Linked DNA regions of Schizosaccharomyces pombe. The protein of the gene in region 1 purifies or fractionates together with the protein of each later gene. This does not show direct contact. Each region holds a gene or a part of one and is shown in the gene's direction. Other genes may lie near its edges.

What was found.
Region 2: the proteins of crm1 (region 1) and pdc2 purify together in Schizosaccharomyces pombe (affinity purification with western blotting, with the first as the bait; one study listed by BioGRID). This does not show direct contact.

What each region holds. Positions count from the first base shown.
Region 1 is NC_003424.3:2,798,088-2,814,672, forward strand, and holds crm1 (karyopherin/importin beta family nuclear export signal receptor Crm1), read left to right. Parts: upstream 1-5,836; 5' UTR 5,837-6,034; intron 6,035-6,300; 5' UTR 6,301-6,420; coding exon 6,421-9,657; 3' UTR 9,658-10,166; downstream 10,167-16,585. Other genes in the region: HECT-type ubiquitin-protein ligase E3 Pub2, read right to left, coding at 1-35, 77-1,679, 1,775-1,908, 1,966-2,144; SPOM_SPAC1805.16C (purine nucleoside phosphorylase), read right to left, coding at 2,866-3,813; transport protein Ugo1, read right to left, coding at 10,455-11,720; elo2 (putative GNS1/SUR4 family protein), read right to left, coding at 13,351-14,281, 14,325-14,377; SPOM_SPAC1B2.06 (uncharacterized protein), read left to right, coding at 14,696-14,950; cox6 (cytochrome c oxidase subunit VI), read left to right, coding at 16,281-16,429.
Region 2 is NC_003423.3:2,362,794-2,377,547, reverse strand, and holds pdc2 (topoisomerase II-associated deadenylation-dependent mRNA-decapping factor), read left to right. Parts: upstream 1-5,934; 5' UTR 5,935-5,964; coding exon 5,965-6,041; exon of another isoform or gene 6,042-6,096; coding exon 6,097-6,197; exon of another isoform or gene 6,198-6,304; coding exon 6,305-8,093; intron 8,094-8,131; coding exon 8,132-8,302; intron 8,303-8,354; exon of another isoform or gene 8,355-8,357; coding exon 8,358-8,484; 3' UTR 8,485-8,713; downstream 8,714-14,754. Other genes in the region: COG complex subunit Cog5, read left to right, coding at 484-938, 988-1,060, 1,101-1,808; tbf1 (DNA-binding factor Trf1), read right to left, coding at 1,917-3,374; SPOM_SPBC19G7.18C (uncharacterized protein), read left to right, coding at 4,624-4,771, 4,820-4,890, 4,937-5,476; SUMO deconjugating enzyme Ulp1, read right to left, coding at 8,725-10,431; arrestin-related substrate adaptor for RhoGEF, Art1, read left to right, coding at 11,818-13,269; PPR repeat-containing protein Ppr3, read left to right, coding at 14,208-14,462, 14,545-14,754. UniProt on the Schizosaccharomyces pombe protein: Activator of decapping that functions as a general and active mechanism of translational repression and required for P-body formation. Stabilizes the 3' terminus of mRNAs and modulates the rates of mRNA-decapping that occur following deadenylation.

The sequences.
Region 1 (16,585 bases):
TGGAATTATAAGGCGGAATATCTAAACGATTGAAGCTGTTCAAATTAGTAACAGTACTTAAAAAATTTTAACATACCAAGTATGAGCTTTTGGAAGCTGAGAGATATGCCCTACTTTCTCGATTGTAAACTTTCGTGGGCCATCACTACCATGCATGTCCTTGAACCCGGATAAAGGAAGCCTGGAGGTACCAGTAGCAAATTGCAGAAGCTTCGCCTTTTTTTCCGGAGACCACTCACTCAGTAGCTCCCAAAACCAAATTACAATGTCATCAGTCTCAGTATAAGACCTATAGTCTGTAAAACGCTTCCAATCTTGAACGTCGATATCCCTTTTTCCGTTAAGTAATGTATCAAGTTCGTTTTCATTAAATATTTGCAAAACCGAATCAGGTATTAATTCATTCAATCCACCTTTCAAAGCATTAAATTGCTCTTCAGTACTGGTGACAAGTTTATGCTCCGTAAGAGCTTTAAGATAATTCATTTTATTCTGATTATTGACTGCAATATTACGGCCATTTGGAATTAAATCGACCGTCACAGATTCACCAAATCGGTTTTCCTCAACGCTAAAGTTTAGGCACAGAGATTCATCAACATCATTGTTCTTAATCCATTTCAAGCTTTCATAATAAACTTCATCAACATCCTTTACGTCCTCGAGGCACAATGGCTTTTGGAGGATCCGTTTATAAAAAGGTAATACAAATTGAACATCCAAATATCGACGATGATATATAGCCAATCCCATAACTCTGCCAACAAACCGAAAGTAGGAACGAAAATCTGGATTCACAGAAGATAAGGGGCTAATTTGAAGACCATAGTTATCGTCTGTAGCATATTCAAACAAGGAATACCCAGGATTGAATATTGCATGAGACAAAATATAAAAGAACTCCCTAGAAACCCCTCCATAATCCAAACCGTCTTCATTACGGAATCGAATTAGGAGCTTCTTTTTCATATCGCTAACGGATAACTTTGATATTATATCGTACGCGTCTTCAAATGTAGTGGCTCTGCTAACCTTTAGCTGAAGTTGAGCATCATTAACGGCCATTTCAGGCCGGTCATACATGTAAGCGATTTTTCTTTGATATTCATCGTTGATTTGTTGGATTGAATCTGTATTTTCAGACACGCTGTCAGAAGCCACAACATTATCTCTGGGATCACTCCATGTAGTCGTTTTAGTAGAATGATCCACAAAATAAACATGATAGTCTTCACTTAAACGCATCTCCCACCCGGCTGGAAGCGGTCCCTTTTCGACGGCCACTTGCTGGCGAACAGACAAAGCCAAAGGGTAGTGTTCCAATAAATGTTTGATTACTTTGTATTCCAGATTAATTTTTAAAGAAGATTTCGATTGATTATTAAAAAGAAACTGAGAAAAAACTTCTTTCAGCTGTTTAGGAGTCAAATTTTCAAGCTTCTCATGAGAAATGGCTGATATCACCGATAGCTGAGGAGATTTTAAATAATAAACATGCCCAAACTCATCAATTCTTGTTTCCCAAGCGCATCCACTAGCATCATCAATAATGTCGGTACAAATTTGCGATTTATCAGCAGGAAGTTCTTCTGGTAAAAACTTAGACCGTTTAAATAAACAAACTACGGAGCCTCGATAAGATCCTGATGGAGATCTTAAAGTAATACGTGTTTTGTAGTCTTTTAGAAAAAAGAATTAGTTCATGTAAGTAAACAAACTGGCAAGCATAATAAATCATAGAAAAACTAGCTTATAGCAAAAAAAAAAAACTTACCATCCTTTGGGTTATTAAAAGGCAGGAACGAATTTACCACTGCTGCCCCCAAACCGACAAATCCATCAGATGTTTCATTTTTTTGTTTTTCGTCGAACAATTGTAAAAGTATTATGCTTTGAGGAGACACAGTTCTAAAAGAAATAAATCATTAGAAACAAAGGGAATTTTTAAAAGTAATTATAGCTTACAATTTTTGAGTAAAGCCCCATGAAAGACGAAGTGTGCCACTAGCAACATTCGTCTTGATAAACTGGTCATCATCGACACTAATAAGCAGGTAAGGCTTTAAAGATCGTAAAAGCCCATTCTTCCATAATCCTTCCACGTGAAGGATTGTCAATTGGACTTCAAAGCGAATATTTTCCATTCATAGAGTGTTTTATACCCAAGAAAACCAATTCCTTCGAATGCAGGTTATATTAATTGGTCTTTTAATCTTCTTAATGCAAGACCAAATCTTAATACATAAAATGTAAAAAAAGGACTGAATTTTGCGAGCAATTCGAAGAAAACTTGCTTTCAATAATATGGTGGAAAAAGATGAAACAATTACGGATCCAAGAGAGATTGGTAAACTACCATAAATTTGATTAGCGAAATGTTTTTGGACCGCGTTATTTTTTTGAAAGGGTATTGCGATAGTGGTAGAAGGATATCGTTACAATAAGAAAGCAACAGGTTTATTATCAAAAAGTTTTAAGGCAATATGACTCTAAATTAATAATTTAAGAAATTTGAAGCGAAATGTATCATTAACTATAAAAAAATAAGTCTAGAGGTGACCAGGGAACTTTGTATACTAAAAACAAATATTTCCTAATTGGTGTTTGGAAAATAACACAAACGACATTTAGGAAATATTGTCTAGTGAGTTCGTTTAAAGAAAGCAAGAAACGGTTATTGATGAGTAAAAGGATATTTTGGAAAAGATATTGAATGGCAACAAAACATCTAATTTACAGACATCAAAATAAGCGAAATGACTAGGATATATATCCTACGTTAGATAAATAAAATAGCTTAAAAGGATGTATAACAGATAAAGGAAATTTTTATTCTGGATAAAAAAGATTGTCAAAGAGGAGTGATTAAATAAAATTGACAATCGTCTCCACCATGGTACGAACATCGGCCGCGGCAGCGATACCAACTTCCAAAACCTCCAAGTGATTTGCAGCACCCTTAGACATGACATTCGAATCAACCTCCACTAAGTCTTTGGCAGAGGGGCTCTCTTCAACAACAACGTTGTTGGTAACCAAAGAAATGGCAAGAACACGAATACCACAATGACGCGCAACGACTACTTCGGGAACCGTAGACATGCCGACACAATCAGCTCCCATAAGAGCAAGCATTCGACTTTCAGCGCGAGTCTCAAAACACGGACCAGATACAAATGCATAACAACCTTCGTGAATTGTACGGCTAACCTTGTGAGCCTTGGCAGCATCGTAAACCAATTTTCGTAATTCTAAATCATAAGCATCCGATAATGGGGGGAAACGTACACCAAATTCGTGTGCATTAGGGCCTCTGAGAGGGTTCATGCCCGCGAGGCCAGGAAAATTGATGTGATCTTTAAGAATCATCAAATCACCAACTTTGAAACCTTGATTCAAGCCGCCAGCTGCGTTGGTAACAACCATGACTTCAACGCCCATGACTTTCATAAGACGAACAGGAAACGTGGTAGCTTCTATAGGATATCCCTCATAAGAGTGGTAACGACCAGCCAAAATCATAGTGGGAACGCGTTTCTCGCCCAAAAAGGCAAAGTACAATTTGGATGCGTGACCTGGAACATGGGAAACATGAAAGTGAGGAATATCTTCATAAGGAACTTCATAAACTGGAGCCGACAATCCAGAGGCTAATGTGCCCAAACCGCTACCGCAAATGATGGCAACTTTGGGCTTGGAAAGCTCTTCGGGGACTTGTTCAATGATGTATTCACGAGCCTCAAGCGCTTTAATGTAAGGTTCAGTATGATGGGGTTGCTGTTTTGCCTGGTGAAGAAAAGATGTAGCAGTCATTGTTGTTACAGAAGAGTTTCGAAAAAAAAAACAGAAATTTTGTATAAAAAAAGAAAGCAAGAACTAATATCTAAAAGGGAATTCTTTATCTTTAATATTTATTAGGCGTATTAGTAGCCAGGAAAAAGAATTTAAGGAATTTTAAAAATATGCAGTGGTGGGTAAATAGGGCCGATAGAATCAGTGTTAATTTGTTTTGAAAATTAGATGGGAAAATCGATAGCAATAACAATACTAACTGAAATACAAACAATAGAATGCACAGAGTTTTGAATAATGTGCAAGCAAAGACGAAGAGCTGGGAGTATCTTGGCAATTGACCTTTATAGAATATCAAAACAAAATAGTAAAAAATAAATAGAAAACGACGATTTTTTGGCACACACTTGATGCTATGCTTAATTTAATTTTGTTTTGTTTTTGTTTTTTGCTGAATATATGTGTAATAAAATTAATATTAGCCGTGAGAACAGAGTAATTGGAAAACACAGAATTGAATCCAACAATTGTTACAGGGAATTAAGTAAGAAATGGTCTATATAAATACTTCTACAAATGTTATTACTTCAACATATCACAGAAAAGCAGAAACCGGTATTACAAAAAGTCACCGAAATACATAATTTATATACGGGCTTTGGCAAACAAATGCGATATTTAGGACAGTGCTGGTCGGATGAAAGCGCCTATCAATTCAAATTTTCTTCGTGCTTGATAAGGAAATGTTGCAGATAAGAATAATGAAAAAGAAGAAAAAAAAAGAATAAACAAAAGCAAAATGTTCAACAAATTTGAAAAAAATTTAGTTCAACTGTAAATCAAAAACACGTTAATTTTACATTTAAAAATGTAAAATATAATGCGGCCAGAGAGGTTCGAACTCTCGCGTTTTACAACAGCAGGGATCAAGGCAGAAGCCTCTTAAATCTGCCCCCTTAGACCACTCGGGCATAGCCGCTTAATTGTACAAACTAATTAAATAGAGGTATATATCTATAAAAATAGTTGCGTGTACTGTAAATTGTCTGGGTTTATTAGAGTATATGTACACAACCTGACTAAAATCGTATAAATTAGTTAAAAAAAATGCATTGGATTTTTTATACCTTGAGAGCCATGCCAACTCCAAAGGTCAATATTTGGTTTAATGATTTTTTTTTCCTTCCCTTTTCTTTATTTAACACACTAAATGTCGGGTAACTGCGAGTTAATAACGAACATGATCAGTTTAATTCAATTTTCATTCTTTTCTATTTCCATATAGAATTGTGGCTGTAACCGCGAAGCATTTCATACGGAAAGTCGCCTTTATTTACATAAGCAACATCTTTGTTGTGTGGCTATAGGAGTTAAAGCAAAAAAGGCGAATTACTAAAGCACAATGAAATGGCAAATCTTTAGTAATAAGTATATTATTTCGTGCCGATGTTCCATAAACTTGGTTAAAATAATTTGGAAACATGATTCTAGCTGTAATTCAATTTTTTTAAATTCATAACAATTTTTAATTTACTGAATGATAAACTTTCCTTCTGTTTTGATTTACTCGTTGACTTGTAAATTGATAATTAAACCATAAAATACCTAATAATTCATAATAAAAAAATTTAAAAAAATAAATTGATGTTTTTCAAATGACCTGTCTTTGCTAAATACTTCAAAACAAACAAACAGAAAAATCCACGTACGACACATTTATTTCTGGTTTAAACGCGGACGTTACGATCAAATTCTTACCGCATTTCTCCCATTCACGGAAACGACCGAACGTCTTACCGGAGGAAGTAAATTTTGTTTCAAAACTAATACCATTTTTTTAAAAAATTGCAATCTGCTGATACACTCAGTTTTATCGCCATCATTCTCGTTCCATTTTATGTTTACTTCATTCCCATCAATTTCTGCCTATAATCACGTTGTTAAATTTCCTTAAAATAGATAACGCAAAACGATTGGATACGCTGCATGCTTGCTATTCTTCTTCGTGTTTCTTTGCCAGCCTTGCGGCCACACCTTTTACCTCCAACACAACACTTGTTCTTTTGCATTTCTACCCTGGGACGTTAGGCAGTAGCCTTTAACTGTATACATTCTTTCATTCTCTTGTTTCCATTGAGTACAAGACAAATTTCTATCGCGTGAAGCATCTCTTGGGACGAGGAATTTCGTTATAAACAAGAGAATTTGGAATATTTATTTGGTTTTTATTTATAGTAAGGAGGTAAGCACTTTGAACGCTCGTGTAGATACGTGTTATTTTCCTTGGTCTTCTTTTAGGAAGGATCTTGTTATCTTTCGATTTCCTGTTCTTCGATCTCTTGTTTGAGTTAATTATTGTTTTTTCTCTATTATTTTTGCAAGGGAGGAGTAATTAATCAGCAAGTAGGAGATTAAAAATTTATATTATTTTGTTTCTATTCGATAAAATTAATTTTTCTTCTACTTTTTTTTATTTTTTTTTTCAAATTTCTAACTTGATTGCTGAAGTCCTTTATACATATACAATCGCATAAGGTTGAGGTAATTATCCTTTTCTTTTTACTTAAGACATTTGTTCAATACGTTGCCAACCATCAATTTACATTTTTTGCTTTTTGATTTGTAAATATGGAGGGCATCCTGGCATTCGATCGCGAATTAGACGTTGCCCTTTTGGATCGTGTTGTCCAAACCTTTTACCAAGGTGTCGGTGCAGAGCAACAACAGGCTCAACAAGTCCTGACCCAATTTCAGGCACATCCAGATGCATGGTCGCAGGCTTACTCCATCTTGGAAAAATCAGAATATCCCCAAACTAAATATATCGCTCTTTCCGTCCTTGACAAGCTTATCACCACTCGTTGGAAAATGCTTCCCAAGGAGCAGCGATTGGGAATTCGCAATTATATTGTTGCTGTTATGATAAAGAACTCGTCAGACGAAACTGTCCTGCAACAACAAAAAACTTTTCTTAATAAATTGGACCTCACTCTCGTTCAGATTCTTAAACAAGAATGGCCTCATAATTGGCCCAACTTCATCCCGGAAATTGTCCAAGCCAGTAAAACAAACCTTTCACTTTGTGAAAATAACATGATAGTCCTTCGTCTTCTGAGTGAAGAAATTTTTGATTACTCAGCTGAGCAAATGACTCAGCTCAAAACCAAAAATTTAAAAAACCAAATGTGTGGCGAATTCGCCGAGATTTTTCAACTATGCTCACAAATTCTCGAACGTGCGCAAAAACCTAGCCTAATCAAGGCTACCTTGGGAACACTTCTCCGATTTTTGAATTGGATACCCCTTGGCTATATATTTGAAACAAACATTGTTGAGTTAATTACAAATCGATTCCTAAATGTTCCTGATTTTAGAAACGTTACCATTGAATGTCTTACCGAAATAGCTAGTCTTACTTCTCAACCTCAGTACAACGATAAATTTGTTACAATGTTTAACCTTGTGATGACCTCTGTTAATTCTATGCTTCCTTTACAAACTGATTTTCGTGAGGCTTATGAAGAAAGTAGCACAAACGAGCAAGACTTTATCCAAAATTTGGCTCTCTTCCTTTGCGCTTTCTTTAGCTCTCATCTTCGACCATTAGAAAATCCTGAAAATCAAGAAGTCCTTCTTAATGCTCATTCCTACCTTCTTAATATCTCGCGAATTAACGAGCGAGAAATTTTCAAGATCTGCCTGGAATATTGGTCAAAATTAGTAGCTCAGCTTTATGAAGAAATGCAGCAAATCCCCATGTCTGAAATGAATCCATTACTTAATCTTTCTAGTCCTACATCTCTCATTTCTTCTAATCCTAATATGTTAGCCAATCTTCCTTTAAGGAAACATATCTATAAAGATATACTTTCAACTCTTCGATTGGTTATGATTGAAAACATGGTCAAGCCCGAAGAAGTCCTCATCGTCGAAAATGACGAAGGTGAAATTGTTCGTGAATTTGTTAAAGAGACGGATACAATTACCCTTTATAAATCTATGCGTGAGGTTCTTGTGTACCTCACTCACTTGGACGTGGTTGATACTGAAATCGTTATGACTGAAAAACTTGCACGTATTGTTGTTGGTACAGAATGGTCTTGGCAAAATTTGAATACTCTTTGTTGGGCAATCGGCTCAATATCCGGTGCTATGAATGAAGAAATGGAAAAGCGCTTTCTTGTTAACGTGATTAAAGATTTATTGGGCCTTTGTGAAATGAAACGTGGCAAAGATAATAAGGCTGTTGTTGCCTCTAACATTATGTACGTTGTAGGTCAATATCCTCGCTTTTTAAAAGCTCATTGGAAATTTCTCAAGACCGTCGTCAATAAGCTATTTGAGTTTATGCACGAATATCATGAAGGTGTTCAGGATATGGCTTGTGATACATTCATTAAGATTGCTCAAAAATGTCGTCGCCATTTTGTTGCTCAACAACTGGGAGAAACGGAGCCGTTTATCAACGAAATTATTCGTAACTTGGCCAAGACGACTGAAGATTTAACTCCTCAACAGACTCATACTTTTTATGAGGCGTGCGGTTATATGATTTCTGCTCAACCTCAAAAACATCTTCAAGAACGTCTCATTTTTGACCTTATGGCGTTACCCAATCAGGCCTGGGAAAATATTGTCGCTCAGGCTGCACAAAACGCTCAAGTTTTAGGGGACCCTCAGACCGTTAAAATATTAGCAAATGTTCTAAAGACAAACGTTGCTGCATGTACTTCTATTGGTTCCGGTTTCTATCCTCAAATTGCTAAAAATTATGTAGATATGCTTGGTCTTTACAAGGCTGTTAGCGGTTTAATATCAGAAGTGGTTGCTGCCCAAGGAAATATTGCTACCAAAACTCCCCACGTCAGGGGATTACGAACTATCAAAAAAGAAATTTTGAAATTAGTAGATGCTTATATAAGTCGAGCGGAAGATTTGGAGTTGGTCGGAAATACTCTCATTCCTGCGCTTTTCGAAGCAGTGTTGCTTGATTATTTACAAAATGTTCCTGACGCTCGTGATGCCGAAGTTCTTAATTTGATAACCACCATTGTCAATCAACTTAGCGAACTCCTTACTGATAAGATTCCTCTTGTTCTTGATGCTGTTTTTGGATGCACCCTTGAAATGATTAGTAAAGATTTTTCGGAATACCCCGAACATCGTGCAGCATTTTTTCAACTTTTACGCGCCATTAACTTGAATTGTTTCCCCGCTTTGCTCAACATCCCGGCACCACAATTCAAACTAGTGATCAATAGTATTGTATGGTCCTTTAAGCATGTTAGTCGCGACATTCAAGAAACCGGACTTAACATCTTACTTGAACTTATTAATAACATGGCGAGTATGGGACCTGATGTTTCAAATGCATTTTTCCAAACTTATTATATTAGCTTACTACAAGATATATTGTATGTTTTGACTGACTCTGATCACAAATCTGGCTTTAAGCTTCAAAGCTTAATTTTGGCTCGGCTTTTCTATCTGGTTGAATCAAACCAGATTACTGTACCTCTCTACGATCCTTCTCAATTCCCCCAGGAAATGAACAATCAATTATTTTTAAGACAGTATATCATGAATCTACTAGTCACAGCTTTCCCCCATCTTCAACCTATCCAAATCCAAGAATTTGTACAGACAGTGCTAGCTCTTAATCAGGACAGCATCAAATTTAAACTTGCTTTACGTGACTTTTTAATTCAATTGAAAGAATTCGGCGGGGATAACGCTGAACTTTACTTGGAGGAGAAAGAACAAGAGTTGGCTGCTCAACAAAAAGCCCAACTGGAGAAAGCTATGACTGTTCCTGGTATGATCAAACCTGTCGATATGCCTACTATGGAGGAGGAAGAACTATGATATTCTTCAGCAAAAACGTATTTAAGCTTAGAACTTTAAAATATGAAAGGAATTATATATTTGGTATCTTTTACTATTGACTTAATTGTGGATGTTATTTATCCCTGTTACTTGAGAAGTTTACTTAATTCCTTTTTTTTCTTTTTTTTTTTTTTGAAAAGCAAGAAGGGTTTTTGACATGACATGGCCCGTAATTCAACGTGTTAGATAGCAAAATGATGGCGCCAGTTGTTATTGATTGCAATTCAAACTATATAAAAAAGTAATAAAAAAGCATAAAGTCTTTAGAGATTCAACTTTCCGTGCAGTGTTGTAAATTAGAAAATTAAAGCATTGTAAGGATTTGGGTTGCCTCATTTTTTATACTGTTTATAAATTGAACGAGCAGCTATACTTGAATAACACTATGAAGTCTCGTGTAAGAGATCTCAATGCGACGTTGAAGTCCTTTTTATTGAATGCTGGCGTTATGCAACCTTGCTAAAGGAAACACCAACGTATTTTCACATAACTACGTTTTTGCTTCTAGAAAATGTATTATTACCTTTAATAAATTATGTAGCTACTACTATTCCGTTAGAGAATACGGTAAGAAAGAAAAACGAAAACATTAAACATAAATCAAACTTACAACTACAAATATGACTATTCGTGTAGTAATTTGGAATAAAAAAAATTCCAAATTACAAAACATCACCTAACTAAAACCTTTTTGAGAATTCCGTAATTTACCATGTGAACTTTCGTCTCTTCTGACTTTGTCTAATAAACAGACAATCAGACCCAAAACCTGAATACTAAAATTCAACTTCTTCACGCAAATTAGAGGAGATGTAGTTCAATGCTAAGGTACTCGACATTCCCCAAATACCCACTCGCCATCCACGATACAAACCTTCTATTCCAAATTTACCCGGATCTTCTTCGCTTAAAAGACACCATATGGTACCGACGATACCAGTGTATTTGCCTACGGGAACGATAGTTTGGGGTGGAAGGTTGCATTCATACTGGGCTTGTGCTCTTCGAAGTACCATTTCTAAAGGGCATTTGAGAAGAAATTGAACGGCTGAAGTGCCCAAGCCAACCATTGCATCAAGTGTAGGAGATGAGCCCAAAAAGTTGCGGAATGTTAGTGGAAGCACACTCGAAACAAATGGTGGTAAGCTGACATAACAAACTGTGGGTAAAATTAACGATGAAGGGCAGTAAAAAGGCAATGCTTTCAAGCATTGTCTGATAGTAAGAGGTTTAAATTTTTTATGCGAATTGCCAGAAGTTTCAGAAGCTGAAGACAAATAGGAAGATGAGGAAATGGGGAAAAGAATTATTTTTGTTCTGGCAATATCAAGGGGAGATAGAATAAGAGCAGAGATCGCAGAAGTAATGGATTTGATGAAAAGGGAAAGAAGAGGCCGAACAGAATCTATAGGTGAAATAATGTTTGGATCTGCTATTGCGAGAGCTCCAGATAATGTTGCCGAAAGCCAGGACTGTAGGCCGGAATAAAGTAAGTTATGCAAAAAGCTGATTGTATGACCTTTCCATAAACCCCTAGCTCCTTCTTTCTCCCATAGCTCACTAATGATACTTTTAATCGAAAATCTTTTCGAATGAATTGTATAGCTTCTCTCGATGAGATTCGAAGGATCAGTTACATAGCCAGACGCATCGACGCAAAGTTTCTCAGCTAGCTGTTCTGTTACTGCCTTTTCTGTGGTAGGTGTTTCAAAGTAAGCATAGATTTCGTGTTCATCATCACTGAGACCTTCCTGTTCTGTGCCATCGGGAATATCCTCATCATAAGGCTCCTTTGTTTGTTTCCCATCACGCTCAATTTTAGTTCGTTTTGGTAAATATTCTTCTACTTGACAGACAGTTTTTGCTACTTCCAATGGCTGTACAAAAAACGTCGTTAAATATTTGGTCACTAGAATACTTCTGAGTGTCTCAAAAATCTCACTCTTGCTTATGGTCGGTTGCGTCTCAAACGTTGGTTCTGGAGTTATCGAAAAAGTAGGCTCAACATTGTTAACCACGACATATGGTCTGTATGGATTCATGCTGTATGCTTGCTCTTTTCCAAAATGAGTTCTCCAAACTCGTTTACGAATGATTCAATATATAGATTTAACTGCAAATAATTTCAAAAATTGCTTAGCTTTGGATAAAAAATTAATAAAAGAAGTCGTTAACCTTCATCAATCCTTTGAATTCTGGTAAATTAACAAACTTTTTGGTACCAAAGTGTGATGGCTTATAGTAAGGTATCACCAACTTGAAGGTATGATACGCACAGAAAGCAATGGACCCAAAAGTTACTATACACCAAATTCTGCAAAATATTATTACGACAATCACTAGACATTATTAAAAAATCTACTAAATTATCTTAATGAAAATTGGTAACAACTCAAGAACAAACAGTTAAGTTTGCTGTGCGCCTGCTTTGAAAATGAAAATCAATAACTGGACGTACAATCCAATAATAAATGTTTTATACTTACATTTCAATTCAAATTGTCAAACACAAAAATGCAAATCTTATATCTCCACAATGACTAAAAGCAAGAATTTAAAACTAAAACACTTCAAAAACGACCATACAAAGTCGGTTCAATACATGCACAAATAGTTGTTGAAAGCACATACATAAGTATATATATCTATATTTATATAATGATCATCCTTCAAATGCCATTCAACTCATTCTGATCCACTGAAACAACAAACCAAAGTTTACGCGAGCAATTAATACATGATAGACGATAATAATATGTACATTAAGGTAAATGCCTATCAAACTCACAAGTAAAAGAATATGAGAAAACTTTGTAGAAAGTTAGGAAAAAAGGAACACGTAGAAAAAGGAGCGTTCCATCGAGCTTGAAATATCCGTCCAAACTTTACTAACTTTTGTTCAAGTAGATTGGGGTTGTTTTAGAAACAAGAAATTATTACTTTGAACTAGACGCAAACCACACGAACTAGACAAAAGATGTTAAAAAGAATGGAAATATTTGGCAGAAAGGAAAAGAACTCGAAACGCGACGCATCCCTAATTATCGAATGGTAAATAGAAAGAGAGAACGCAGAAACTTGAAGATGTCGAAATGTCACCCAATATACACAAAAGAAAAGGGAAATGAAGAACGAAGGCACATAAAGAAGCAAACGACTATTTTAACCCGCTTTCTATTTTTCTTTAAAAGGATGTCTTAAATACTATTAAGACCATAGACATACGGGTAACAAATCGATGCTTGCAATAACTAAATTAAGATAAAAAGCACCCCATAAACCAATTGCAATTTATGTCTCAGGAATTAGAGAAATATTAAACAGAAGCAGACATACGCTGAAACCCATGCATTCCCACCGTTTCAAGCAAAGAAATAAATCCGCCATCTAAATTTTTAAAGAAAAAAAACTGAAAGTAAAAAAGAAAGAAGAAATGACGACCCTAGAAGAGCCGTGCATAAGAGTAAAATAAAAAAAACCAAAAGCAAGGAACTTTTAGATGGCTGGAAAAAATGATATTTTCCAATTTCAATCCCAAAGTATCGTCTTTTGAGTTTTTTTCCTTGTGAAAAAGATGACGACGGTACCATGAAATTGGACTACGCTTAAGAAAGTTTGAAAATACAAAAGAAAGCTAAACAAGGGTCTGCACGCCGTACACATTCCTCTCCATTAGAGTTTCCTTGAGCGAGCAGAAAAGGGAGAAGCATTAGTAGCAGTGGTAGCGGCTAAAGCTTCAGAGCCAGCAGCGGCAGCAACAGAGGTGTTATCTGCCTTACCGGCGGCTTTCCTTTGATTTTTTTTGGCACCGCGCTTGATGTAGGTATTAATGTAAAAACCAATGAAGAGGAATAAATAGGACGAAAGAACACCGCAACCAAAGAAGGCGGCAAAGAGAGAACCAGAACAATCACCGACATGGGGAAGCCAAGGGAAGTAACGGAAAGCAATGTGGGAGTAGGTACCAAAGTAGCAGAGGATGAGATCAAGGACGAACTGAATGATTTGAACACGGGTAACCCATTGCTTCCACCAAACTCTACGGCCGCAAGCAGCAAGGAAGTAGTAACTGTACATGATAACATGAACGTACAAGTTCAAGCCAATAACACCCCACTGGACGGAGGTGCGACCGAGAAGTTGAGTAAAGCACAAGAGAGCCGTAATACCATGGTGGTAGCAATGGAGAAAGGCAAGGGGTTTCTTCTTCAAAAACAAGAACACCGTATCCATCAACTCCAAGTACTTGGTCAAGTAATTGAGGTAGTACAAGGTAACCAATCTCTGCGTAAAATGACGAGAATCGCAAACGCAGTAGAAGAGACCGTTACGCATGTAGTTGCGAAAAACCTCTTCTACCAACAAAGCAAGCAAAGCTCCACTGATGATAGTCAAAATGAAGTTGTGAAGTTGAAAAAGACGACGTTGTTTCAAAGGTTTGCGATTTGTCATGATCGCTCGACCACTCAAAATGATAACATAGTAAGCGGTAATGGATACAATTACGCTCGACCACTGAGACATGGGAGTTTTACCCGGGATGTACTCAAATTCAGAGGGATTCCATCCTATAGTTTTGATGCTCAGTTGCTCAAACAAATGCCTATTCCAAAGTTAGTTTTAATGCATAATTACGCTTTGCTTACCATAGGTCCACTCCAAATGGATGGTCAATGCTGGGTCGGTGAATTTTCAACATGTGTGCTCCGGTTAGATCCATTCTCCGCTGAGAAGACAAGGAAATCAACACATGTACACAATAAATATTTGAGTTTGAATTTTAAAATATTTTTTAAAATATTCTAAAAATTATAATTTCTAAATTTTAAATCCCATATGTGTATAATTTGACATAACCAGCCCTTCCCGGCATCTTGCCATCCTCTTTTTTTTTTTTTTTTACTAGTCCGTTCCGATGGAACTGAAGAAAGGCAGGTCACAAAAAAAAACTAATCACTGCAAGTAAACAAACAAGTTACATTCTACTCAATCGTCAAACAAACGTATTGACCCATGGATGCCCAAAGCACATCCAAAATGTGAAATCTTGGAGCCCTCTGAACTCCTAACTTTTACAAAAAGCTCTTCTTATTCTTCTTATTTTTTCGCACGACTATGTGCGATCGTGCAAAGCATCTGCTGTACGATACGTGTGTGCGCAATTATTTTGATCGATTATAGACTACTAGTTTTCACGATTGGTCCTCATCATAAGATCAATGGCGAAAGGTGGATTCTCAATTTTCCACCTTCCGTGAAAGTATGTCTTTAAAAAATTCATTTATTAACATTTGCAAAACAAATACCTGCAACTGCCTCAGTTCTTCATACTTTGTTTTCCATTCCGTTTTCCGGTTCAACAAATTTACGTTACCTATACTGGCCCAACCAAGTGACATTGTTATTTTTTTATTTTTTTTACCAATTAAATTGAACCAATTTTACCACAAAAAGCACATGCTACTCAGATAAGTAACGCATTCCCAAAAGTAAACAAAAGACGGAAAAGAGATGGGTTGGGCATTTACAAGGGTAGCTGAACTGATGCTTTAGTAAAAGTGTTTATTGAAGAATGGAAATTTTAAAAGTCAGTTTTTCAAGATTCCCATAAATTTTGGTAGATATTAGAAAATCTTACTAGTGAGTGAGATTGATGGTGACATAAACATTCAAAAGCCAAGCAATTTTAGAAAAAAGAAGTAATATGAAAAAGAGATAAGTTAATAAAAAAAATGCATATGAATATTAAAAATTTCGTACGTTATCCACACTCTTAATAAAAAAGGTTAGATTGTCCAACAATTTTTTTGTAGCAGTCAATTACAAGTGAAAAGAAAAGTATTCACTTCACCAATCACCGATGGCTTCAAAAATTGATTGAGTAGCCCTTCGACATCTCTCATTGAACTTTTTTTCGGATTATGTTTTCCTTCCATTTGGTACTCCTAGAGTATTAGTGGAGCTAGAATGCTTAATCCTTCGAATAGACCTGCCTATAGAAAGTACATCTAAAACTCCAACATGAGTTTCAATTCACTTGAATTTGTATCTCTGACATAACTATTTAAATGAATATCTATCAGCAAAATGTCTTCCGCTAAATATAAAACAGATGAGAATTTTCATTCTACAGCATAGTAAAAGTCATATTTCTCTAATTAATGAAACAGCTGTCTTGTATAAACACTCCAGTTTAATTGAGCTTGCTTGAAAATTCCATGTCGAACTAATACTCTACATAACAAGTAAATACTTTAAAACTAAGAAAATCATTTCATAGCAGTAGACCTTTAGAAGCTACAATAACATGGAATGCCCTTAGTCTGTGAGCCGTAAATCTTCATTTAAACACGGCTCTCAATAATCGATCTGTACAGATTACTCACAACCAAGTGCAAAACATATTTATATAAAATTACAGTCATTAGGTTTTCTTCATCCTACTTCTAATATAACTGAATAGCTTTTTTCTTGAATACATAGTCTATACTAGAAAACTGTTTGCTTCTTGATATATTACAAACCTTAGCGTACTACTACTTCCATCTACTCTCCACTCCCCTTCACTTTTATTTAGCAAGAAGCAATTCTAATTCATTATAATGAAAGCAGTTCAACGTATTTTTCAAACTGGCCGCTTTTCTGTCGCCGCAGGACCCTCGGTTCGTTTTCAAGCTGGGTTTTTAGCTGCAAACAGACAAGTTCGTTTTTCTAGTAACCACGGGGTTTCCTTGGAAGAAATAAACACAAAGTATGTAAAAAAACGACGATAAGGGAATAGGTAATTGTTCGGCATGTTGCAATGCCTGAAAAGTAACTCCATTCAGCACTTTTATTATCAAATGCGGAAATAGGAATGCTGGGAACTGCAAAGAATAAAATGAACACGAAAGCAGTCTGTTTTATC
Region 2 (14,754 bases), on another chromosome or scaffold:
ACTGCCTGACGAATGTTTACTTGAGGAGTATGTTGAAACCATACTAACTCTTAGAGCCGCGGATTTCAGTTGGAATTTTAAAAGCCTTCGTGGTTCGATAAAATTCAACGTTCAAATTGATAAGTTTTTCAATCTTCTATTTGAAAATCTCTTTCTTTGTTCTTTAGAATATGAATGAGTAGCATGTTACTTACAATAGTCGGTCAAAGTGTCTAAGGTATACGCTCTCATATACTACATTAGTTGCACCAGACGAAGTAAGCGTATACTTGCAGGATAAAGTTGTAGTGTTATCGTGTTTCGAATAGAAGTGCTAGAATACACTGTTCAATTGCGGATTTTACTTGTTCAAAACATTCGTTGTAAGATTTGGTATCGATTCTGCGTTTTACGATTGATCGTCAAATAAACTAAAGTTAAGTATCATTAAAATCTATGAAATAGCTTGTAAAAATTTCGTTTAAAGCGCTTAAAATTCCTGTTATGGAGTTTCGATATGATTTTTCAGATTACAAAAAATCAGATTTCGATCCAAAGGCGCAGGCTGAACGAGTGTTAATCTCTGTTCATGCTGACTCCGATGTTAACGAAGACAAAGAAGTCGCCAGAAAGAGGTTGGGGTATGCACTCAAAGAAGTAGAGCGGCAAATTACCGATTTGATTGTGCATGAGGAAACCACGTTGACGAAAAATGTATCTAGTTCTTTGAATGCTCAGTCATATTTGCAAGATATCGAGGGAAAACTAGAACAATTGATGTTGGTTTATGAAAGAATTCGTTCGCTGGTAGTCATTCCATCTGAAAATTTGGGTCCCCTTCATGAGGCAATTGTAAATTTGCATTCAACATACATGACTTTGTATTGGCTTGGGGAGTTTTTTGGCATACAAGCAAAGTTATTTCCCCTTTTCCAGGGATCGATTAATGAAAATGAAAAGTATGCTTATTGTTTTGCTCAATGATTTTGGTATGCTAACAAATTCAAGACTTTCACGCTATTATCAAGCATCTTTACTATTACAAGAGTCTGATCAATTATTAAGCCGGTTTCCATTAATGGTATGAAATATATTTTCTGTTTCTTGGCTAATTATTGTAGAAAAGACAATCGTCCGTTTCTTTACTCTTAAAACTTAATATAACCAATCGATCGAGAATTATAAAAGAAACATCCAGCTATCTATTATCACAAGAAGATCAACTTTCTTTCAGTGTGAACTCTAATGGTTTTACAAATGCTTGCTCTGTTTTATATATGTTAGACAAATATTTGTTAGAACAGGACTTAACTCGTCTTTTAAGTTCTCGTATACAGAAGGCCATTATACAATTCGACTCGATTTTCCAACTGTCCCCCACTACACGAAGACTCCTACATAACAGTACAGATCCTTCAGCGGCAAATTCTACTATATGGTCCAAATTTGAAGACGGGTGGTACCAAATTTCAAAGATTGGTGCACAATGCGTCTTTTGGGAAAGGTCACTTCAAAAGGCTAATATTTGTAATCCAGACTACCCAAATTTATTAGAATATTTTCAAATGCAACCAAATTTTATCCTTGATGGTGCAACTATTTGTATCTATTTTTTCAAAGAGCTGGCAATTTCTATCAGCAGCAAAATGCAAATGCTTGATCGCCGTGATCCAATACTCTTGCGGGTATTCCGAAGCGATTTTCAGCGAGTTACGCATATTGTGGAACAAGCTATTGCCAGGTCATCCTCCGAAATTGTAAATAAAGATACACGGGAATGTTCAATTGTAATGAATAGCCTCCGAGTATTAGCACCAAAAAACCCATAGATTAATAATAATTATAATTTATACATAAAATGCCTCACGCTTAATCGTTTTAGTATTTAAAAAAAAATCGCAAACTTAATCAAGAATGAAATAAACTCCTGATACTACTTAATCTCGCCGAAGATCGCCTGTAACACATTGTAATGCTGCGGGGACCACCTGACCACTTTTGAGAAAAAATAGTTTCATATTGCGAGCCTTATCTTTCAACTGAACTTGATTGCGATATTTCAAAACTTCACTCTTTTTGCCTCCAGGACCATAAAGCTCCAAAATTTGGCTCCACCGGGGACCTTTTACTAAATCAAGACCATCAAGCAATGCTTCCTCTTCCTCTTTTGTCCAAGATCGACGATTGGCTACGCGCCTCGTACGCTTGTTATTTAGGTTATTATTTGTCATATGTCGAACCTGATCATAAAGAACGACACTGGATACATTTTGTGTTTCCGAGGAGCCGTCAAAAGTTGAAGATGGTATACCAAATGCGAGACTATCGGTCAGGTCTGAACCAGATTCTGAAGGGGATGATTCGGCTTCGCCAGCCTTAAACCTCAATCCGTTCTTCTTGGATCGTCGTTTGAATGAGTTAGCAGGAATTGGAATGGCCGAAATAGACGAGTAATTGTTATGGATGTAACAAGCAATCTCGCTTAAAAATTTCCCCCATGGATATACTTCATTTAAAGCTTCCTGTGGGGAGAAGTTTGCCAATCTTTCTTTTCTAGCCGTACATTTCTCTATGATTTGCTTTTCAACATAAGTAAGTTTGTCATCCAGCTTAGCATTTCGTCGGATAAGAAATCGATGGGCCATGTCAGAGGGAAAAAGATCGTTTAATATGTCTCCCTTGGGACGTTCTGCCTGAGCCATAGCCGAAATATATGCTTGGGTTTTGAGTTCCATATAAAGAGTGCCCTGATTAGTGAGGATATTAGATTCGTCCGGAGCAAAAACCTCCAGAAAATTTTCATTCAAATGAAAAAATCCAATTTGTAGCGCTCCATAGACAGCTGCCAGAAAGATAGCAAGATTTGCGCGTCTAGTCGTACTTCTTTGACTCGGCGTCCTCATACCAATGGCAGAGGAATAAATAAAAGATTCTTCAGTATAAATGTCCTTTACCATACGAAACATATTCATTACTTTGGTAAAGGCCATACCCATTTCGGAGGCTGGATTAGTGACAATGGCAGATGCCTCTTGTACTGGCTTCCCAAGAATTGACAAAATTATGTTACTAAGGTTACCAAGAGTAGGAATAAGAGATGTACGAAGAAGTTGCTGAGGTGTAGCAATAGGATTAGGTTGGTTGAAAGCGTAATCCATGCCTTGATTCATGCGTAAATAAAAGTCCGGCGTCATATTAAATTGAATTCCGGAAAGATCAAACCCTAAAGGAATTTCTGCATTTGGTGCAACATTTTGAGGCTCGAGTTCAGAATTTTGTTCTGATAATTGTTGTAACATTTGGCGATCTTGTTCGAGGGCAGTTGATTCTGGATCAATCGCTAAGCGTTTTTGACCCTTAAAATCATCACTAGGGTCTAAGGATCGTTTTGACATTTTCTTGGAAATCGTAGTTTTTCAATTGATCAAAGAAAATACAAACTATAGGTGAGAAGCAGTCTGATTAATCGATTGCTAAACAAATCCAAGGAGCAACGATATCCAGTGACTACCGAATAGTAAATCTTGCATCAAAAGTTCCAATTCTTCTTTACTACAAGGTTTTTTAAAATATATCCTTCCAATGCAGGCAAAGTAACAACCAAATGCGAGTTTTCAGGTATTTGTGTGTCAATTGATTAGGACAGCGTATATTTAATTGACTCGTAATAAAAAATCTCTTGCATATTTCACTTCATTGGCGTTCGTTATTTTTATTAACGAATTCCAATAAGCCAGATGTGTTAAATACCATTATATCGTTGTATTTCTTTACTAATTTTATCAACATTTCATTCCTTTGTAGAAGCGATATCTGGACATTATTAACTAATGAATAAGCTGTAACTACTACTAGTAGTTCCTACATATTAGATACAAAATCCGTCTAAATTGGCAAAACTTTTTAAAAAAAAAGACCAAGTCTGTATTGCATCTATTTCTCTATTTCTCAATTGCCTTCTTGTATTTTTCGTTAGCTGTGTAAAATGCAGTGGCGCTTGTTTAATTTACGAGATAGAATTCTGTGCTAAATTAGTTCAAAATGAATAAATACGGTTAATGACAAAGAATTATACGATATAGACTTATTTAACAACTGGGAAATTCCTGTTGAACATATATGCTTGCAATATTAAAATTCAAAACAATCGTATACCACGAATTGATGCCACCAAGGTCTGTTTCATTGAAAGATGGAATGTAAAACGTAGTTCGAAAAAGTTGCATATTTCATCACAAGTGCTTACCAGCCAAAAAAAATTCAGTCTATCAGTTTCATAAGAAATTTCAACAGAACAATCTTGTGTGTCAAATTTTTATTCAGATACGTATTTCTTATTCATGCCAAGTATCACTGTAGTAGCTGGGAAATTTAGATGGTCCTAATCCCTAGAGATTCTCCTTATTCACATCCTCTTACATCAGTATCCAAACTATCCATAAGGCAACAAGTGATGAGTACTATTACCTTTTAGTAGTAGTATTTTTACATTAGAAAGGCCTCAAATTTTTATATATTGGGTTAAATTGTACAGTCCGCAAATAATTTAATTACATTTATTTCGCTAACATAACCCGTATAAGCACGTTTCATATTCTTGACATTATTGTGTAGCCTCAGGAATCGCTTCCAACGTTTATTATCATGGATTTTTTTTGGGAACGAATGTTAAATGATCCTCAAAACCATTTCAGTGATGACCAAAAGGAATTTCTAAATCATGCAAAATACCGTGTCAAAAGAAATACGATTTTTGGGATGCTAGTCGGGTTTTCTCTCCCATTATACTTAGGTATGAGATTTCGAACAAGCAATTGAAAATAACTTTCTTATTTTTTAGCTCGTAACAAAAAGGTTACTCCAATCCGCTTGTATGCAACATCAATTATAGGAGGTCTTGCTGGAAATGGGGTAAGTTTTAAGTAATACTAAGCTCAAGCTTACAAATTATGAATAGGTTGCTCAGATTACTACTCTGGCATACAATTTGTCGGCTATACGTCAAAGAGATGATGGCTTTGAAATACTTCGCAAAATACAAGACTCCCTTATTCGACAAAGAACAACGATGCGACAAGGCAGATTTCCTTCTTCATCTTCTGAATTCCCTCCAAAAAACTCAAAATATCAATTACCTGGAAGTATGCCGAATACTGGTGCCTCTTCTAGTCAAGATCCCTTTACGAATTCACAGAGTACGGAGAAAGAGGACGCCATGTACTCTAAAGACAATGGCTTTGAAGATCGATCAAAGCCAGCGTCAGCATGGGAAGCTATTCGTAACCGTAATCGAAATACCGGTAACAATTCTTTTCCATTTTACGAAGAAGACTCGAGTGTTAAATCCACAGATAGTGCTTTTAGTGGACAAGAAAATTCTGAAGCATTTCCTTCCCGAACTTCTAATCTAGGCTCTGAACAGTTGGATGAACCTATTTCTCACGAACAGGAGGCATTTGATCAATTGATCTGGAATGATTCATCGTCTTCCAAATAATTTCCTTTATCTCTACATGTTACGATAATTTAAAATTAATTTTTACCAATTTGAGTGTCACTGAATTTATGATGTAAAGTAGTTAAATTTAGTAGATATTTCTTTTTTTCTATACTGCATTGCCAGATTGATGTAGCTTGCTTGAGCAAGCAACTTATGTATGTTCATGCATAAATTTCGATACATTTCAGTCTTTCAAAAAGAGATAAATTTAAATTCATATTTATGATATACATCTATACGTGATAGGTTTTAATAGCTAGTCTTGAAGATTGATGTGAAATAAAATAGGGATAGATTTACTGGTATAGCAAACCAAATAACAACTTTAAAATTCAGATATAAAAAAAGAACGCAAAGTAAAAATATATATAAAACGCCATGAATCAGTCTGCGTCGAACCAACCCAATCTACTGTCATGAGTATTGTTGTATGCAGTGCCGCCCACCTAGCTACCACCAACTTCTCATTACCATAAACCCATAAAATGTCATTTTTTGGGTTTAATACTACCCTTCCAAAGGAAAATATGTTTCCTAACGAAGGGCAGTTAGAAGAGGATGGGTAAGTCGTTAATATTAATGTAAATATGATACTTTAAGCTCACAAGTATATTTAGCATTGACTTTGAGGAGACCTACGACGATTTGGGTAATCAATTAAATGAAGCCGGAGATGAACTAAACGACGAGACTTTTGGTGTTAGCGCTGGAAGTATAGGTATGTACCTTTGTGCTTGTGATTCTGTAATCATTCTCGGCTGTCATATCTGGGATATTGCAAGCTATTAGTATTTAATATTTTAATATTTTTTCTCACAATTCTAGGACGTGATTTTGATTTTTCAGGTACTACCGCTCAAGCATCTGCACAATTGGAAGATGAGCAGTACCAAATTAATCAACAAAATATTTTCGCTAAACCTGTCAAACCAGCTTCTTCAGAGTTACCTCAAGTTAGTAGACTTAATGGTGCTTCACAATTTCCTTCACGGGAACCTGCGTCTACTGCGATCAATAAGCTTTCCGATTTGCAGCCTATGGCTTCGATTTGGGAAAATATTGTTCCAGAAAAGCCGGCTATTATTCCACCTGAGGTAGCCTCTCTTCAAGATCGTTTGGGTGCCCAACCATCTGAGAAGGTTTTTAGCTTGCAGGAGTTGGAGGAACAGTTATTGAACTCAATGACCGCTCCAAAACCACCTTCTCAACCCGCTATTCCCATTGTTCCATCCGAAATGGCTGCTCAAGTAACTCGAGAAAACATCTCTTCATTGGACCCGGCGATTAGTGCGGCTAGTATTGGTAATGTTACTTTTGGTCAACCAAACATCCCTAGCACTACAACTGATTTTGCTGGATTAGCTGCTCCTAATATGGTACATCCTTCGCAAGCTATACCCAATCCTGTTATGCAACCTTCCCTTGTACCTCAAATGCCATATCCTCAAAACGGCATGTACAACCCAAGTGTTGCTCCTCCTGCTTCCCTTGTTAATCTTTTCCAGCAGGAACAATTAATTCAAAACCAGAACCTTGATGAAAAACGTCAAAAGTTAGAGCGTGATCATATGCTCATGGCTCAATGTGCTGGGTTAATGACACGCAGTGATAAATCGTTTATTGCGAGAATTCAAATATCGCAATTGATGTCGGAGGATCCCGAATCTGATGATTTTTATTATCGCGTTTACTCAATTATTCGAGGCCGCAAGCCTTCCGAGGAAGAAGCCAGTCATTTTATACAGACTTATCTAGGACCTAGCAATAATCGCCGTCGTGGTCGTCGCTCCGAAAATCCTATGCAGAAATTACAACAGCAACTTCAGCGTTTGGTTTCTTCTGCCAAAGAGCGCCCTAAGGCAACTCAGTTGTCTTTAGAAGGTGCTCTTGGTAAAATTGCTGTTAATACTGTTCGCACACCACGACAATTGTTGAATGTTAAACGTCCTACCGAACCAGCATCTTCAAATTCATCATTAAACAATTTTTCTGGATTTTCTACGAAGAAGGATGTATTGCACGCTATTGAGAAAGTTTATGACTTGTTGCTTGACTTTGAGCAAGCCCTCCGTAAAGCCTCAACGCTAGAAACTACCGATCAGGAGCAAATAGATACATGGAAAACTACTTTAAGCGAGAAATTGGAGTCCATTTGGAAGGCATTATACATAAATGAATCATTGGAAGCATCTTCTAAGACTAGGCCTCCATTCATTTCTATAATTTCTCACCCCAAAGGAATGAGGCTGCTACCTCGCTTGTTCCCACATTTGTCCAAAGAGCAACAAATTTCGATTTTAAAGGTCGTAGTTTACAATTTTGATTCTCTTGATATAGTCCTTAGGGGAACATTTGACGTTAACGGTGAGCTGCCTTTGGACGTTGTTTCCGAAATGAGTTCTTTCACGCAGTTCATCATCCCTCCATTGCTCACTATTGTTAATGAACTTGATTTGGAAACTATAAATAACTTATTTTCTCAACTTCTCAATCGCACTAATGCTGTTTATTTAATACAGACGAAGATTGGTTTGTCGTTCCTTACTCTATTCATTAGTCGCGCAGAAATTTTAAAGCAATCTGGCACTGTAAATCAAAATGAAAAAGAAGAATGGTACGTTATACATGTATTTACAGCATCTAACTATTTAGGGAAAATACATTCAATGTTATGTTTAATCGCGTAAAAGGTCATTTCTCGACGGTATTCCCACCACCTAACGCTCGAGCTTATGCTGATGAATCTTATCCATGGGAATTCTTAGCAGCTTGTGCTACTGCTGCTAGCTCTGAACAACATTTTACATTGGTTTCTGAAACTAGGTACGTTAAAATATGTCTAGTCGAGTTTTTGTACTAACAAATATGTAAAAAATAGGGACAGAGTACTTGATAACATCATTACTAGCAAACGGGCACCTTCTGAAATTGCTGTTGTGCGCATCAGCAATGTTAATTTGTTTTTAAATGCAATGGGGCTCGACGCTCGTCAGCTCAGCGCTTAAGTTTGTTTATAAGATATGCGGGTATTTTTTTTTTCAAAAGCTATATTTGCTGAGATTCCTGGATTCAGATTTATTAATTAGAGTATTCCCTGCTACTTAAAAAATGCATACGCTCTAATATAGATTTAAGTAAATTATGTCCTTTTTGAAAACGCTGAATATGAAATAAAATGTATTGAACGAGAAAGAAATTAATATAAAAAACGATAAGTATATAGACAAAAAGTTTATAGCACATATTTAATAGATTTGTGCATCAATAATACTAGCTGCCATTTTGATTCGTAGTTCAGGCATATCATTTTGACTAAACTGAACAGGAACATTTCTAGATACACATTCAGCAGTTTTACAAGCAAAAACTCCACAATCATGTCCATTTCGTTGTCTTGGAGAATTGTCATCCATAAAATTTTCCCAATCTGACACGTCGACGGCACCTTTTGTTTCTGCAATATAATAGTCGCGCAACAAATCAAAAACTTTACCAGGGCTTCCGGCCAGCGAGTCCCAGTATTCAAATCGTTTCTTCGATTTGTTAATAACAGCCATACACCAGTGGACATCCAGATGTACTGGTATAAATACAGCATCCATATCTGCAATATTAACGCGTGCCTTTTTGGCCCATCTTCGAACACCCGCGTATCCACGGCGCTGCAAAGATGTATAAAAAAAAGTATTAAACCCATGTACCCGAGGTAAGGATGAATCAATTTTAGAGCGTTCCGAAATCAAATTCATGTAAAAATTAATTACCTCGTCATTTAACCATTGTCTATTCCGCAGAGTATGCAAGTCTTTAAGCGTGATTGGAATATTAAATTTGGTGATGATGGGTTCAGAAGAGGAAACAGAATTGCTTTGGTTTAAATATTTCAGTGCACGCTTTCGAGCATTATCAGGAAACTCAAGTTCCGGAATGAACTTGGGGCGAGTGGGGGGTGGAGATATTTCCAAACCTTTTAATTGTAAAAAGTCAACTTCGTTCCAATCTTGAAAAGATTCTGTTTGCTTTTCTTTCAAATCTCGAATTAGCAACAGTAATGATTTTTCATTTTGGATATCAGAAGTAACGATATTCCGCGCTGGTTGCTGATCAGATTGAACGAACCTAAAAGAGGCTTTCCGAGACGTTGAATCATGAGGACTTTTCTTTCTTAACGTAGCCGTAAAAGGAAGGTGTTTATATCTGGCGTGTTCGCTAACAACATCTAGCTGCTTGTCCGGTGTAACAATGTCAGAGTTTGGATTTGGAGAGGAGTTCGTAAAGTGCAGAGGAGAAGAAGAGAAAGGTGTAGGATTAAAAGAGTTTATTTCGTCAGCCTCAACGGAATTACCGTGGGATAATGTCGATGAAGTTGTTTCCTTAAAAACCGCAAGCTGTAACCGATTACTAACAGATAAATTTTTGGAAGACCGATGAGGTCGGGGGAAGTATCTCGAACGAGACACACGAAAGCTTGATGGAGATAATGCTTCGTCATGGATGTTTTGAGAATGCGTGTCAGAGGCAGGGGAAAATAGATTTTGAAGAGCAATGGGATCCAAAAATTTTTCATCCTTACTAGAATTTGTATATGAATGAGAAACGGTAGGTTTACTATTTCTGTCAAGAGTATTGTGAGAAGACATATCAGATTCGACCGTCACGTAACCACGTTCAGTCTTGGAATTTATGTGAGAAAACCGAGATTCAGGGGCTTTAGTAGAAGGCTCTAGTTTTGAATTTGTACTATTACTATTAGATGGTATCGCCTCGCCAGCGATGCGATCCAATTCAGAAATGGGAGTTTTTGTCAAAAAAAGTTTTGCATAAGTAACTGTACGAGAACAAATATTAACAAACGTGTTCAAAAATGTCTTTTTACGTTTCCTTTGATACTCTTCATATGTAATACAATCATCCTGACGCGTCCTTTTTGACGCATTGCGTTTTCCTATCATTCACGAGTGAATTGTAAAGGGTGAATCGCGAGAGGCTGTGACACACAACAACCTGGAAGGATGAGCGCGTTCTTGCTTACGTTGTGAAAATACCTCGTTATACGAGTATTGCGGTATTTACTGTAAACAAACTACTTTTTGTGTTTATATTACAATGTTTGGCTTTCGAGCCGCTAGCTTTGCTTGTAAGATTTTAAATTATGTTGCTTAACATGTAAGTGTCCGTTTATCTTTAGGGCCTACTGTGTTTGATTTCATTACACTAAAATCCTACTTCAATGTGGGCTATCACTACTTTTAGCCGTGAGAAGCTTACAAGTATATTAATGTAAATTAAATATCATATTGCTTTTATAAAATATACATTCATGACAGTACACTGTGTTACTCTTTTAAGCGTTTAATAAGTAAGTGGTAGCGTATCGCTACTAGTAAATTGTTTTAAGTTCTGATATATGCCCTGAAAATGAAAAGATAAATCGGAAAATGTGAGTTAGTTTTATACAAACCATTTAACACTTCCTGAAGGGATCTTTGAATGAACAGAAAGCCCTATATTCAGGTTATCCTTCAAACAATCATTATTTCCTAGATAGAAAAGAGTCGTACATCAGCAATGAATTTCCTCAATTATCGCCGGGGTTTTTTATCATACTACGGCTCATATAACTATCAAAAATTAGCATTACCAGTTGCTCTTGATTCTTGTTTTTCTCGATTTTGAATTTTTTGTTATGCATTGTCTGTTAACTATGCGTGAAATATCTGTTCTTTTAGAGATTCGTTTGATTTTTAGTAAAATAGTATTTACTTGCTTTATTTCCCTTTCTTCTGCTGCTCAATAATCTGATATCTTGCTATATTGTTTTCGTTTGAATTCAGTCTCTCTTCTATATTTCGTATATGTATGTTGCGATCAATCGTGTGTTATGGTTTCAAAAATTCAAAAATTCAAAAAAAAAGCCTTCTGCTGTAAGAATAAACATATTTTAGGCTTTCGTAAGTGAATTTTAAGTTGAAAATACCAATTTCAAAATTAGGCTATTAAAGTCATTTTAGTTTTTACTATTGTAATCAAAATGGAACTTTTTTACAACAGATACTAGCTTTAGATGCTTGGCTATCAATTGTAGGCTTTTGATTTTAATTCTATGGAATGGAAACAAAAGTACATTTTTTGGCCTAAAATTAGATTTTTATATAATAAAATATTATTAATTTCATTGCTATAAAAAGTCACTTAGCAGTGTTTAAGCGAGTGCTTAAAAGATTTTATTTAGCTATCTAGATCTGACATTGCTGCACTGAACCAACCTGTCTACCATTTGGTAGATTCAACTTCCCATAACCAGCACCAAGCCAGAGGAACTCACTAAATGTAAGAGCATGACATCCCCGTGTACGCTAATACGGCAATTTTCTCCTTTGGAGATACGTCCGTTACCACATTTGGATTTCCAAGCTGGATTTAATGGGATACCAACTTCAGCTCCAAGGTTGGTTGGTATCGTCCAAGTTCGAAGTAAAGAAATTCACCAACCTTTGGCTTTGGTTCAAATAACGTTAGAATTATGGAAAATTGAATCAGTGGTAATACCATCCTTGGGTATAAGTAATCACTTATCAGATAATAAGTGTCTGGCAAGGCAGGTTTTGTTTCCACTTCATTCCGAGCATCCTGAAAATAACATACCTCCTAATGATAATAATTATTCTATCAGCGATTTGTCTATCAAATCACCTCCACCCTCCCTTACTAGCGATTGGATAGTAGATTCTTATGCGTCTGATCAGGATAATCCTTCTGTTCATACTCATAACCGTACTACTCCACCTATCCCTCCACCTCATCTTCCTAATGCCTCTGGATCTTCGGTATATCAACCTCCTTACACTCCGTTTAGATCAGTATCCACCACATCTTCCTCTAATGACACATCTATCACTCCTTTTGGTGACCAAACTCCTATACTCTCTTCTTCTTCAGATCCTTACGCTACTCATAGGGTATGGTCAATGGACCTTCCCTTTGAAATCCCGTTTCCCGAAAATTCAGAAATTCCATCGACTTTTGAATTGAATCGGTCTGGTACAATATGCTCCACGAAATATGAACTACGTGCTCACATGAGTTTACTAGGGGTACCGGATATTACTACCACTGTACCAGTGTCACTCAGCAGGTATGATAATCTATCTTCTTGGGGGATGTATAATTCCCCTACTAATATTCGGCAAGTGAGTAGCGATGGTCGTGTTGTAGTAGAGGTATCAATACCCAAACTGTGTATTGGACCTTCGGATCTCGTCTCCGTCTTCGTTTCCATCATGCCTAATAATGGTTCTAAAATACGAGTACAGCAACTTTCTCTTTCCTTGGTTGAATACATCACGTTCATACATCCCTCTTCTTCAAGCCCAATAGTTCGTAAAAAGAAAGTATTACGTTACGAAGAAGATTTGGATGATATGAAACTTACATCGGAAGGTTTATCGAAAAGCCTTTCTAAACCTTTCCCCGACATTGATTTTGAAGATGCAAATATCACTGGATTCACGACCACCTCTGATCTTTACTCTGTACAATACATGCTAGTCATCAAAGTACAATTATATCGTGCTAGAAACATTGAAATAACAAACCCAATTATTGTTTCCCCAGTGGAACGATCACGAAGTCAAGCCTTACTTAATGAAATTCAAACCCGAGTCCTTGACGTTCGCCAAAGCCACGGAGGCGTTGTCCTCGAAGAAAACGTTAGGATTGTGCGAGCTTCAGATTTTTCCAAAAATAATATGTTTGCTTATTTGAATGATGACATTGTCCTGTTATCTTAGGAAGTTACATTTTTCAAGCTCAATCTGTGCTTTACTACAAATGTAAATCCCGATATTGTTGATCATAAGCCTTACCTCTGTATTTCCCTGTGTTTTTCGATATTTGCAAGCCTTTGGTTTGCAATTAAATACCCACTTTGTTTATTTATTTGTCCCTCGTTTTTTTGTTTGGTTTCAAAAGCTATGAGTAAAAATAATGGTCTTCTTGTTTTTGTTTTGTTTTAAAAAGTATTCCTGTTCTTCGACATCAAATCAATTTCTATTGAATATGTCTTCATTGTTTTATTTATTCACTAGATTTAGCAAGTGGGACTTTTGGTCACTATTTGGTTGCTTTTTTGTACAACTGACTATTTATTTTAAATTGTGTCAACAGTTTAAATCTCACTTTATTCAGAGTAGGTTTTAGTTTAATAAAAACAGCTTTAAACCTGCTTATATAATGTACTACTTTCCTTTTTTATGTGGTTTGAATATCACATCGGCTGCACTTATGTCGGCGTTTCCACTTTCATGTATGTGGCTTTGAAAGTAAAGATGTAGTAAGCATTTAAATCTGAGTAAGGCTTAATATATATAACGATTGCATTTTGTTATCTAATAGCCCAGTATACGGTTACACTCTTAAATCAGTTACAATTTTATTAGATATTAAGCTCATTGTGAGTAAAATTTTTCCACACCTCTTCCTTAAGTTTGTATAATCCATTCTTATAGTAGTATAACCAGAAGTAAAAGTTTAAAATATTAGCAATTAAATTTCTTTTGAGGAATGAAAATACGAGATCATTATCAAAGCGTTTAATACCCACTTAACTTTCCATCCACAAAATATACGTTTCAATCCAGGTATTAATATCTATATATTATTGACTACTTTATCAGGAAAAAAGATCAAACATCTTTAATTTTTGAGATTTCAGAAGCTACTGTACCTTATGCTAAACAAATGTTCTGGCTCTTTAACACTTTTAGCTGTTAGAAGATTTTGTGGTCCTTGCCGACGTTTACATTATCATAAAGATAACCCTAATAACATTAATATTGCTAAAAATCTCCTGAACAATAATATACAAGCTAGATGCTCAACAAATGAGGCATCTTGGAAGTTGGCACAGAAAGAATTAGATCTGAAAATACGTGAATACGAACAAAAGTTAAAGGATGTTAAGCTAAATGACATAAACAAAAAGGTAAAATATTTATTAAATAAAGGGTTTGAGTACAAAATAACACTGCTAAAAGATACTGTCTTGTTTACTAACGTTAGCATAGTCTCCCCTTAACATTCCTGATGAAGTTTGGACTAAATTTATATCAGAAGTTAACTCTTATGATAAGGAAAAAGAAAATCATTTATCTACAGGTAACCACGAATTGAGGAGAACAACTCCATTGAAAATTGGACCACTTCTACTTACGAGAATCGGGCTATTGAAATCTAAGAACACAGCCAGCAATAATTATTCAGTCGATCATATTGTT